2 linked regions of the Saccharomyces cerevisiae S288C genome follow. Changing the gene in region 1 together with any one later gene gives a genetic interaction. Each region holds a gene or a part of one and is shown in the gene's direction. Other genes may lie near its edges.

Evidence for each region. A genetic interaction does not mean that the proteins touch.
Region 2: of ULP1 (region 1) and TDP1, a mutation in one rescues a mutant of the other (synthetic rescue), as found in Saccharomyces cerevisiae (one study listed by BioGRID).

Annotation. Positions count from the first base shown.
Region 1 is NC_001148.4:510,672-517,590, reverse strand, and holds ULP1 (SUMO protease ULP1), read left to right. Parts: upstream 1-3,412; coding exon 3,413-5,278; downstream 5,279-6,919. Other genes in the region: VTC3 (vacuolar transporter chaperone), read left to right, coding at 573-3,080; ECM23 (Ecm23p), read right to left, coding at 5,927-6,490. UniProt on the Saccharomyces cerevisiae protein: Protease that catalyzes two essential functions in the SUMO pathway: processing of full-length SMT3 to its mature form and deconjugation of SMT3 from targeted proteins. Has an essential role in the G2/M phase of the cell cycle.
Region 2 is NC_001134.8:667,837-673,807, reverse strand, and holds TDP1 (tyrosyl-DNA phosphodiesterase 1), read left to right. Parts: upstream 1-3,510; coding exon 3,511-5,145; downstream 5,146-5,971. Other genes in the region: MCX1 (Mcx1p), read left to right, coding at 1-236; YBR225W (uncharacterized protein), read right to left, coding at 479-3,181; PCS60 (Pcs60p), read left to right, coding at 5,457-5,971. UniProt on the Saccharomyces cerevisiae protein: DNA repair enzyme that can remove a variety of covalent adducts from DNA through hydrolysis of a 3'-phosphodiester bond, giving rise to DNA with a free 3' phosphate.

The DNA of each region.
Region 1 (6,919 bases):
GTTTATATAAGTCTAAATTACGCGTTTCTGATTTTTCGGCGGACTCCAACTATTAGATAGTCACCATTACCGGTTACATTACCGGCCACATAGTAGAACGCCAGAGTATATATGCCGTGACCTTCACGGTTTGGATGTTAATGAGTAACTTGCACAGCTATTGGTATTTGGACTTCTTGGCACATTTTTCCCTGTACAGCTTTTCTTTTTTTCAATGTGCGAGGGCCCACGTGGCTTAATACAACACAGTGCAGTCGCAAGCACGTGCATGCGATTTTGAAAGCACAAGGCAGAAACGTGGAAACATACACACACGCACACACCCAACTTTCGAGTGGGTTTCATCCAGGAAGAACTTTTAAATAGAGGCCAGAGAGCGGCTTACATCAGACATCTTTTCTCGAACTTACTTCATCTTCTCAATATCGAGAGGGCCCATTGGCGGGTAATAATACGCATAAGAGTGATCTAATCCAAGTAGTACCTCCTTAGCGCTTTTTTTATTATCACTATAGGTCATTTGGCTATTAGAGCGAACAGCAGAATTTGTCCTTGGTTTTCAGAGTTTGAAAATGCTATTTGGTATTAAACTGGCTAACGACGTATATCCTCCCTGGAAGGATTCATATATCGACTATGAAAGGTTGAAGAAATTACTAAAGGAAAGCGTCATACATGATGGCCGTAGTTCCGTGGATAGTTGGTCCGAAAGGAATGAATCTGATTTTGTGGAGGCCTTGGATAAAGAACTAGAAAAGGTTTACACATTTCAAATTTCCAAATATAATGCTGTCTTGCGAAAATTAGATGATTTAGAGGAAAACACTAAATCAGCTGAAAAAATCCAAAAAATAAATTCTGAGCAGTTCAAAAACACCTTAGAAGAATGTCTAGATGAGGCTCAAAGATTGGATAACTTTGACAGGTTAAATTTTACTGGGTTTATCAAGATTGTGAAGAAACACGATAAATTACATCCAAACTATCCTTCTGTAAAGTCTCTTTTACAAGTCAGATTGAAAGAACTTCCTTTCAACAATTCAGAAGAGTATTCTCCCTTGTTGTATAGGATCTCATATCTGTACGAGTTCTTGAGATCAAATTATGATCATCCAAATACGGTGTCTAAATCATTAGCAAGTACTTCTAAATTATCACATTTTTCTAACCTTGAAGACGCAAGTTTTAAAAGCTACAAGTTTTGGGTTCATGATGATAATATAATGGAGGTTAAGGCTAGAATCTTAAGGCATCTACCTGCTTTGGTTTATGCGTCGGTTCCAAATGAAAATGACGATTTCGTCGATAATCTAGAATCAGATGTCCGCGTACAACCTGAAGCGCGCTTGAATATTGGTTCAAAGAGTAACAGCCTTTCTAGTGATGGTAATAGCAACCAAGATGTTGAAATTGGAAAATCAAAGAGCGTTATTTTCCCACAGTCATATGATCCAACAATCACTACATTATATTTCGACAACGATTTTTTTGATTTGTACAATAACAGATTGTTGAAAATCAGCGGTGCACCTACGCTGAGATTAAGATGGATCGGTAAACTGCTAGACAAACCTGACATATTTTTGGAAAAGAGAACTTTTACAGAAAATACCGAAACTGGTAATTCAAGTTTTGAAGAAATCAGATTGCAAATGAAAGCCAAATTCATCAACAATTTTATTTTTAAAAATGATCCCAGTTACAAAAACTATTTAATTAATCAACTAAGAGAAAGGGGTACTCAAAAGGAGGAACTGGAAAAACTTTCTAGAGACTTTGATAACATCCAAAACTTTATTGTTGAGGAGAAGTTGCAGCCAGTTTTGAGAGCTACCTATAATAGAACTGCTTTCCAAATTCCTGGAGATCAAAGTATTAGAGTCACTATCGATTCCAATATCATGTACATTAGAGAGGATTCTTTGGACAAAAATAGGCCCATTAGGAACCCTGAGAATTGGCACCGTGACGATATTGATTCCAATATTCCCAACCCATTGAGGTTTTTAAGAGCAGGAGAATATTCGAAGTTCCCCTATTCTGTAATGGAGATTAAGGTTATAAACCAAGATAATTCTCAAATGCCTAATTATGAGTGGATTAAAGATTTAACTAATTCACATTTAGTTAACGAAGTTCCAAAATTTTCTTTGTACTTGCAAGGTGTGGCTTCACTGTTTGGTGAAGACGATAAATATGTCAACATTTTGCCATTCTGGTTGCCCGATTTAGAAACCGACATCAGAAAGAACCCTCAGGAGGCTTACGAAGAAGAGAAGAAAACTTTACAAAAACAAAAGAGCATTCATGATAAACTTGATAATATGAGAAGGTTATCCAAAATCTCTGTACCAGATGGAAAGACCACTGAAAGACAAGGGCAAAAAGATCAGAATACTCGCCACGTTATTGCAGATTTAGAAGATCACGAATCATCAGATGAAGAAGGTACTGCATTGCCCAAGAAATCTGCAGTCAAAAAAGGGAAGAAATTCAAAACGAATGCAGCTTTCTTGAAAATTCTTGCTGGAAAAAATATTTCAGAAAATGGAAATGATCCATACTCCGACGATACAGACAGTGCCTCTTCTTTCCAATTACCTCCGGGAGTTAAAAAACCAGTTCACCTTTTGAAAAATGCCGGTCCTGTCAAAGTTGAGGCAAAAGTTTGGCTCGCCAATGAACGTACATTCAATAGATGGTTAAGTGTAACCACATTGCTGAGTGTATTGACCTTTTCTATCTATAATTCAGTGCAAAAAGCCGAATTTCCACAACTAGCTGATCTGTTGGCCTATGTATATTTCTTTTTGACTTTGTTTTGCGGAGTATGGGCTTATAGAACCTACTTAAAAAGATTAACTCTTATTAAAGGTAGAAGTGGTAAGCATTTGGATGCACCTGTGGGACCTATTTTGGTTGCAGTTGTATTAATCGTTACCTTGGTTGTTAACTTTAGTGTGGCTTTTAAAGAGGCCGCTAGGAGGGAAAGAGGATTAGTAAACGTTTCCTCCCAGCCTTCGTTACCCCGTACACTAAAACCAATTCAAGATTTTATCTTCAATTTGGTTGGGGAATAAGAACATGTATATTTTTTATATACACATATATTACACAAGTACCAGTTACTATCATAATTAATTAATTGTTCTCTATTTATACATATTTGCTCTTCCGTATTAAATCATATTAAACAGCTTTCAGCAGGTGCCGGCGCCGCCTCTTTTTATTTTCAAAATTCAAAATGCACATAATGAGAAGATGTGTGTGATAGTTAAACCCAGATCAAAAAATAGCTGAAACGTTCGTTTCAGCTCCGCAAATCTATATTGCTAATTAAAATTATTCATCAATATCTACTTCTGTTTCAGTTTTTTTCCTCTTCTTCCTCTGACCTTTGGATATCATAATAATGTCAGTTGAAGTAGATAAGCACCGGAACACACTACAGTATCATAAAAAGAACCCTTACTCCCCTTTATTCTCCCCAATTTCTACATATAGGTGTTATCCTCGGGTATTGAACAATCCCTCCGAGTCTAGAAGATCAGCCAGTTTTAGTGGTATTTATAAAAAAAGAACCAATACGTCAAGATTCAATTATTTAAACGACCGCCGTGTTTTATCAATGGAAGAATCAATGAAAGATGGGTCAGATAGAGCTAGTAAAGCTGGTTTTATAGGAGGCATAAGAGAAACTCTTTGGAACTCAGGTAAGTACTTATGGCACACATTTGTGAAAAACGAACCTCGCAATTTTGATGGTTCTGAAGTAGAAGCAAGTGGTAACAGCGACGTTGAGAGCAGAAGTTCTGGAAGTAGGAGCAGTGACGTACCATATGGTCTACGTGAAAATTATTCCTCGGATACAAGAAAACACAAATTCGATACGTCGACGTGGGCCTTACCAAATAAAAGGAGAAGAATCGAAAGTGAAGGTGTGGGGACACCTTCAACCTCACCAATCAGCTCTTTGGCTTCTCAAAAAAGCAATTGTGATAGTGACAATAGCATAACTTTTTCGAGAGATCCTTTTGGTTGGAATAAGTGGAAAACAAGTGCTATTGGTTCTAACTCAGAAAATAACACTTCTGATCAGAAAAATAGCTACGACAGGCGACAGTATGGGACAGCCTTTATTAGAAAGAAAAAAGTTGCAAAACAGAACATTAACAATACTAAACTGGTGTCGAGAGCACAATCTGAGGAAGTAACATATTTACGACAAATATTCAACGGAGAATATAAAGTTCCAAAAATATTAAAAGAAGAAAGAGAAAGACAGTTAAAATTAATGGATATGGATAAGGAAAAAGACACTGGCTTAAAAAAGTCTATAATCGACTTAACTGAAAAGATCAAAACAATTTTAATTGAGAACAACAAGAACAGACTACAGACAAGAAATGAAAATGATGATGATTTAGTATTTGTTAAAGAAAAAAAGATATCTTCTTTGGAAAGGAAACATAAGGATTACTTAAATCAAAAGTTGAAGTTTGATAGATCTATATTAGAGTTTGAGAAAGACTTCAAAAGATATAACGAAATTTTAAATGAAAGAAAGAAGATTCAAGAAGATCTTAAAAAAAAGAAAGAACAATTGGCCAAGAAGAAACTTGTTCCTGAATTAAATGAAAAAGACGATGACCAAGTACAAAAAGCTTTGGCATCTAGAGAAAATACTCAGTTAATGAATAGAGATAATATAGAGATAACAGTACGTGATTTTAAGACCTTGGCACCACGAAGATGGCTAAATGACACTATCATTGAGTTTTTTATGAAATACATTGAAAAATCTACCCCTAATACAGTGGCGTTTAATTCATTTTTCTATACCAATTTATCAGAAAGGGGTTATCAAGGCGTCCGGAGGTGGATGAAGAGAAAGAAGACACAAATTGATAAACTTGATAAAATCTTTACACCAATAAATTTGAACCAATCCCACTGGGCGTTGGGCATAATTGATTTAAAAAAGAAAACTATAGGTTACGTAGATTCATTATCGAATGGTCCAAATGCTATGAGTTTCGCTATACTGACTGACTTGCAAAAATATGTTATGGAGGAAAGTAAGCATACAATAGGAGAAGACTTTGATTTGATTCATTTAGATTGTCCGCAGCAACCAAATGGCTACGACTGTGGAATATATGTTTGTATGAATACTCTCTATGGAAGTGCAGATGCGCCATTGGATTTTGATTATAAAGATGCGATTAGGATGAGAAGATTTATTGCCCATTTGATTTTAACCGACGCTTTAAAATAGTTATTCTTTTATAATATACAATTATTATACATAAGTAGAAATATTCAGATCATTGGATATGGAATAAAGTTCAATAAACCACTTGAAAATAAATCATAAGAATAGCATAAGCACCAGCTCAATTTAGATGTCTGTACAAAAAGTAATATATTTTAGAGATGAGCAGGCAGAACCACACATTAGTGACGATTGTCTTCGACCTTATGTGGAATCTTAAGCTTTAACATATAAGTAAAAATTTTTATTTTCAACAAAAGATTAGAACGAAATGAAATTCCTTAATTGAACCTTCTCTTGGATATCAATCTATTGGCAATCATTCCTAGAGAATATATTATTGAGTGAAAACTGTAGATACGTGCTAAGCGGTAAAGCCCTTATGAACATCGTCACACTATCTCTATATTGAGCCTCCGTAAATTTCGAATCATTTGAAATTCATTTTTCCTGGTAGGAAGATACTTGATAGTGGAGGATAAGTAAAGTAAATTGTGGTTATCATTTATTTGGTGGTAAAGTACCTTTTTTATGTTTTTTTTGAAGATGGAAATTCAGGCATTTTAAAAAAATAGAAAGCTCGAAATATCTCAAAAAACATAAAAATAGAGGAAGAATCCGCTGAATATACCATCTTTACAAACTACTTAACTATTTATTTTTAAATATAAAATTTTTAGTACCATCATCGGAGGATTGTTGCGATCGTATTTTTTTCTCCATTTTTTTCCTATATGCTATGCCACATCGACTACATAGCTCAACATTTCCATTAGGTCCACTTCTCCACTGAGAAGTCCAGGTGTCACCACAAGTGGCGCACTCTTTTGGTTGACCGTTGGGGAGTATAGTTTGTTTCTTCCTACTTTTAGGTCTATATCCTGCTAAAGATTTCTTTCCATTGGATGATATTGGTAGTGATGAAAAAGATGGGGCTGGTAGAATAGAGGGGTTATGCAAAGGCCCACCAAGACGACTTTCTTCCTTCAATTTTGGACTCAGCGCACTATTTAAGCTTTTGATCTTCTGTTCAAGAATATCTGCTCTTTTTAAATCTGGCGTGACACCAGATTTCGGGATACTGGCTACTGAACAGCAATAATTGGGATTAGCGGCAATGAACAGAACCATTTGTACAAAACGATCGAAGTGGAATTTCGTTCTACGACCAGAGCTACTAGCGCCGCTTGTTCCCTGCTCTTTGTTATATAACATAATATGATTTAAAAGTTCTATCACTCAGCACTACAACGCAGTATTTTTATTCTAGATGACCAGTATAGCAAATATTGTTACCCTTGAGATATTGGTAATTTAACCAAATCTCAAGTCATAAATGCCTCCCTTTTAAGTTTACATAGGCAGTGGACAGATTGGTACATCATATTAAAGGAAATAATGAACGCTAAAAAGAATGCCTTTTACTGACACATTCACTTTTAATACGAAAACGGATTTTGTGGTATATGACGTTGAGCACTGCGTGGTTTTCTGTGAATCCGCCGTGCCTAAAATGGACCCTTAATTATTTAACAATAGACCGGCCCGAATAATGTTAACATGAAGGGAAAAGTGCACATAACTGCAAACTACTTTGGTAGGTTGATTATCAGAGCTAAGCCATCCTACAGGTAATGATTTCCA
Region 2 (5,971 bases), on another chromosome or scaffold:
CGGGTTCTAACATAGCATACGTTTTAATCGACGAAGCTACTGTCGACTCGTTACAGGAAACAGAGCACTCTTTGGCTTCCCAAGTGGACGTAAAATACTATTCTGGTGATGAAAAGGACAGTTTAATTCGTGACGTTTCTGAAGAAGATAAAAAATTAGGAGTTATGCTAGAAAAAGAGTTGGGTCATTCTGCTAACATTCATACCCCAACAATTCCCAAGAGAAGCTTAACATAAAAAAAAATGAATGGTATAGAATATATAAATATAGATGTAATAAATGTAGTAAATGAACAAATAATCTTCCTACAAAGTACTATGCCATGGGAAGTAAAAAAAATTAATAAATATTGGCTAAAGTGTTTCAAATTGGTTCTACGATACTGGGAGACTACTCCTTATCATAATGCTTTTTGTCCAGTAGTAAAAATTGAAGTAATTCTTGAACAATTTAAAAAAAAATTGGAACGGCGGCACAATTATTTGGTATATGGCAGCTTTGGCTTTTGCGCCACCACATACAAAGTTCTAAAGCAGCCAGCGTTGTCATCGATTTTTCCTATGTGTTCTTCCACATATCTTTTGAAAAGAGTGGTGGGGTCGGTATCCTTTGGAGGACAACTACTATCTGGTAGTTGCCTCCTTAACATGTAGTCCCACATATCTAAAGAATTAAATTCATTCAAAAAGCCCATATCTGTTTTGAAGTCACCAGTTTTCAAACTTAGGACCGAGGACTTGATGCCTGTAAACCCTACATCCTTGAATGTCCTCGTTAAGTGTTTTGTAGGATGGATATGTAAGCCTTTATTTATCGCATCAATAGCCATAGCATCAAATGTCTTGTCCCGTTCTTTTGTAGTCAAAAACTCTTCTGATGAATTATTTGCTTTTTCGGCATCGGCGTTGCCAAGAATTCCAGTATAGTATGTGTTTGAAATCCTTAAATCTGGAACAATTGCCAGCGCGTACCCGCCAGGAATTATTGATCTGTATATTTCCCTAAGTAGAGCTTTCCATTTATAATAACTTAAACTTGTCCAGACCCACGGGCATATTACAGCAGGTATAGTGTCTGATGCAAACGGCAGTCTTAATTTTAAATATTCTTTACCATAAATAGCTGCGCTTTTTGCCCTGTCAAGTCCTTCATTTGGAAAGGAGTTATCCGAATTAGAGGATATTGGTGATGACAAAGGTGGTTCATCTTCAGGCTGAAGTTGTGCATTAGAGGACCTCTTCACTTCCTTTGGCAAAATAAATTGGGTCGGTAAATCGATTTCTTTGTAGTTGTTCAAAGTCCGGCAAAAAAAATTCTCCAACCATTCATTTTGATGTGCTTGGTTGGCTGATTTGACATGGGGAGCTTTCTCTGTCCGAGGGGGACTAGAGATATGTGACTGTGGTTGAATTTTTGGAGAAGAAGAAGAAGATATGCTAGGTGAAACTGAAGGGCTTGTAGTATGTGAAGTTGATGCAAGTTGAGAATGCTTTCTCTTGAAAAAGTTGACGAAACCAGATTTTTTAGTAGCCTTGGTAGGGCTCTTCTTCCTTTTGACAGCATCTGCTCCCGAGGACGGCAATGATAAAGATCTACTTGAAGCGAATTGGTCGTTTAGAGGGTCTTCCTCAACTCCCTGATTGAAGTTGTTTCTAGAAATACGTTCTTTTGCATCATCTGTAAAGAACTTTCTATTCATGCAATCATACATATACTCTGAAGCATTGGAAGAATTCAATTCGATAACTTCTTGTTCGTCAGAAACTATTTTCGCTCTTGAACCCTTTCGTGGCAAATAATTTTGTAAGTTTGTTAAATACTCAGGAGCAATTTCACTAGCATTCTTATTCTGAGCGTCATTGTCACTGCTGTCAATCATCCAGGGAGATAAATCTAATGCGAAATCTGCGATGTTCAAGCTTGGTTCATCATACGCCAGCTGCCAACCGCCCAGGGTTTTATGCAGCGGTCTTATTAATAAGATGTCAATTTCGTCTAATGGATCCGATATTACTGGCCTTGGAGAGTTTGCTTCTATATCTAACTGCTGAATATATAATGTAGGGTCACTGATCTTGTTGCTGGTGGTGCTGATTGTTGGATTAGAATGTTGTCTTGTGGTTGGTTTTCTTTTTATTAGTTCCTCCACTACTTCAGATGAAAAGAAGAATGAATTTGATTGCAGTAAAAATTTTTGAGATTGAGCCAACCATAATTGAATCAAGGATTCAATTTCAGAATAATCTTTTAACGGGTCAAACGATGGAAAGCATTTAACCTCAGTCTCTATATTTATGATGTTTTCAATGTTAAATGGATAACATTCAAATGCATATTTCCTAGATTCCAAATATTTTGTTAGGAAATCAATGTACGACCGTAATCTTTTCTTGGCAAATATTAAAGAGTCTTCTGGCGAGGAGTCCATGTTAAAAGATAGAAACAAGTCCATTCTATTAAAGAGCTCATTATGATTCGGGTCGTACATTATTTGTTTGAATTCACCGTCTATGCAAATGTTGATTAAATTATGATTTCCTGAAACGGTTTTGATTAGAAGAGAAGAATCTGATGCCGGTAAAGTGTTCCAGTCCCATTTTTTTCTAGAATGGAGTTTCTTGACAACGTTCGAAGTTGCACCGTGTAGACCACCACCTCCCCGGCCATTGCCGACCATATTGGATACAATGAATCGCGGTGCAGAAGGGTCTGGTGAGTAATTAGCTTTCACTTCGGAAGTCGGAGTTCCGCTTCTATGACTATGTTTATTATTACTTGTATGATGATGATGTAGACCTATTTTGGAAAGCTGAGCGGACTTCAGTTTGGATACTGAGGATGAGGCAGCGGAGTCAGATGATCGTCTTGACGAGTTTGAGAACAAGTCATCCGCCAGTCTAAAGTTTGGCAAATGTAAGGGCGAATCAAAGGACGAGAGCTTATCTGAATGATGGCTTACTTGTGGTGAGTGTGATTCTACTGAACTACTTGATTGCGTGGTTCCATTTCTACTCTCTTTTTCTTGTTTCCCCTTTTCTTTGTCAGCATTTTTATGTTCAGTAATCATTGAACTTGTATGGTTATCATGTGCTTTTAAGTTGGAAATTTTGTTACTGGTTATACTGGTTAACCCCCTATCATTCTTACTATCAATGTTTTTTGCTTCCTTATTGGAGCCCATTGTATTTACTTGAGCAGTTTATAAAAAGTGGATAAATGAGGGGAAAAATAATAAAAAAGAAAATTGAACAATCCTTCAATATGTGTCCTTTAATAATTACTACTACTTTACACACTTCTCCAGTAGCTGCTGCTTGTTTCAGGTGATGTGAACAACGTGTTTCAGCGTTCTTGGTAAGTGTTGGTATGGATCCCTTCTGATGTATTTTCGGCGGCCGCACTAAACTGCGAAAATGGTAATTTAATAAAGGGCTTATAAAGAGGAAAATAATGCAGAGAAACGGTGAGCCCAGACAAGAATGATGATAATGTGTTTTCAACCGATCATTAATGTCACGAGAAACAAATTTCAATGGAACTAAGAGGAAGAGGTCGGATGTTGCCGAGAAAGTAGCACAACGGTGGAAGAGCGTCAGGTATAGTGCTGAAATGGAGAATATGGCTCCGGTCAACAGTAACAATGATAGCGACGACTGCGTCATAGTCAGTGAATCGAAAATCATTGATTTGACTAATCAGGAACAAGATTTGAGTGAGAGAATAGAAACAAACGATACGGCAAAAGGTGCCGTTTTTAAACTAATGAAATCGGACTTCTATGAAAGAGAGGATTTTATGGGAGAAGTAGAGGATATGATTACATTGAAAGATATCTTTGGCACTGAGACACTAAAAAGAAGCATACTCTTCAGTTTCCAATACGAACTTGATTTCTTGTTGAGACAATTCCACCAGAACGTAGAGAACATAACCATCGTCGGCCAAAAGGGTACTATTATGCCTATCGAAGCCCGTGCTATGGACGCGACACTGGCAGTAATATTAAAAAAGGTCAAACTTATTGAAATAACGATGCCCCCATTCGCTTCCCACCATACGAAGCTGATCATAAACTTTTACGATAATGGCGAATGCAAAATATTCTTGCCATCTAACAATTTTACGTCAATGGAGACTAACCTGCCTCAACAGGTGTGTTGGTGCAGTCCCCTTTTGAAAATAGGTAAAGAAGGGCTACCAGTACCGTTTAAGAGAAGCTTGATAGAATACCTCAATTCGTACCACCTGAAAGACATTGACGAATTGATTACAAAAAGCGTAGAGGAAGTTAACTTTGCTCCTTTGAGCGAATTAGAATTTGTATATTCTACGCCCTCCAAATTTCAGTCGTCGGGTTTACTGTCGTTTTACAATAAACTAGAAAAACTTTCTGCTGGCACAAGTGCTAGTGATACTGCAAAACATTATCTATGTCAAACTTCATCCATAGGGACATCTCTATCAAGAGCGCGAGACGAAAACTTATGGACACATCTAATGATTCCTCTGTTTACCGGAATCATGTCCCCTCCAGCAAAGGACACCGCTGGGAGGAAGAAAGCAGAAATACTGCCAACGAATTCATTGATTAATGAATATTCGCAGAGAAAAATCAAGCCGTACATTATTTTCCCCACCGAACAAGAGTTTGTCACCAGTCCCTTAAAGTGGTCCAGTTCCGGGTGGTTTCATTTTCAATATCTTCAGAAAAAGAGCTACTACGAAATGCTGCGAAACAAGTTCAAAGTATTTTACAAGCAAGACCCTGCTATGGTTACTAGAAGACGAGGGACGACGCCCGCGCACTCTAAGTTTTACATGCATTGTGCAACAAACTCCGCAGGGCCCTGTGATGCATCGCAGGTATTTAAAGAACTAGAATGGTGCCTTTATACTTCGGCAAACCTCAGCCAAACAGCATGGGGCACCGTTTCAAGAAAACCACGCAATTATGAAGCAGGAGTGCTTTACCATAGTCGCAGGTTAGCAAATACCAGGAAGGTCACGTGCCGTACTTTTACACGTGACCGTAGAGGCTGCGCGGGTAATCCCACCCATGTGGCCGTGCCATTCACGCTGCCAGTCATACCATACGACTTAGCTGAGGACGAGTGCTTTTGCCTTGCTCGTCATGAGAACGACTAACAAGTAAGAGCGCGATGTTGCTGTCCACTTAGGCATCACTATATGGGGCCAGGAATGGCAAATTTACTTGATAAACTTCAGGCGATTGGATTTTGGTGCTCAGAATATTTTTTTCTCGGGCCGAAAGCGTCTTTAACTATTCCGAGCTAAAGCTTCCGAGTCCTTTATTCGGTCTTTTTTTATTTTTCAAGATTAACTGTATATAAATAGAGATGGTATGATTAAAAGCTCTTTTTAATAGATGCTCCTTCTTGAAATTTACTCCCACTGTGCTGCAAGAGGTTAGACGCTTCACGCACATTTTTGCTACAATGACAAGTGCCGCTACTGTTACTGCTTCGTTCAACGATACTTTTAGCGTATCCGATAATGTCGCCGTTATTGTTCCTGAAACGGACACTCAGGTGACCTACAGGGATCTATCCCACATGGTGGGTCACTTCCAGACCATGTTCACAAATCCTAATTCTCCATTGTACGGAGCTGTTTTCAGACAAGATACAGTGGCGATATCCATGCGTAATGGGCTGGAATTTATCGTCGCTTTCCTCGGTGCTACTATGGACGCTAAAATTGGCGCGCCCTTGAATCCCAATTATAAGGAAAAGGAGTTCAATTTTTATTTGAATGACCTGAAATCTAAGGCGATTTGCGTCCCAAAGGGTACCACAAAGTTACAGAGTTCTGAAATTCTAAAATCTGCCTCCACGTTTGGATGTTTTATCGTAGAGCTGGCCTTCGATGCGACCAGGTTTAGGGTAGAGTATGATATATACTCTCCAGAGGACAACTACAAAAGGGTTATTTACCGGTCTTTGAACAACGC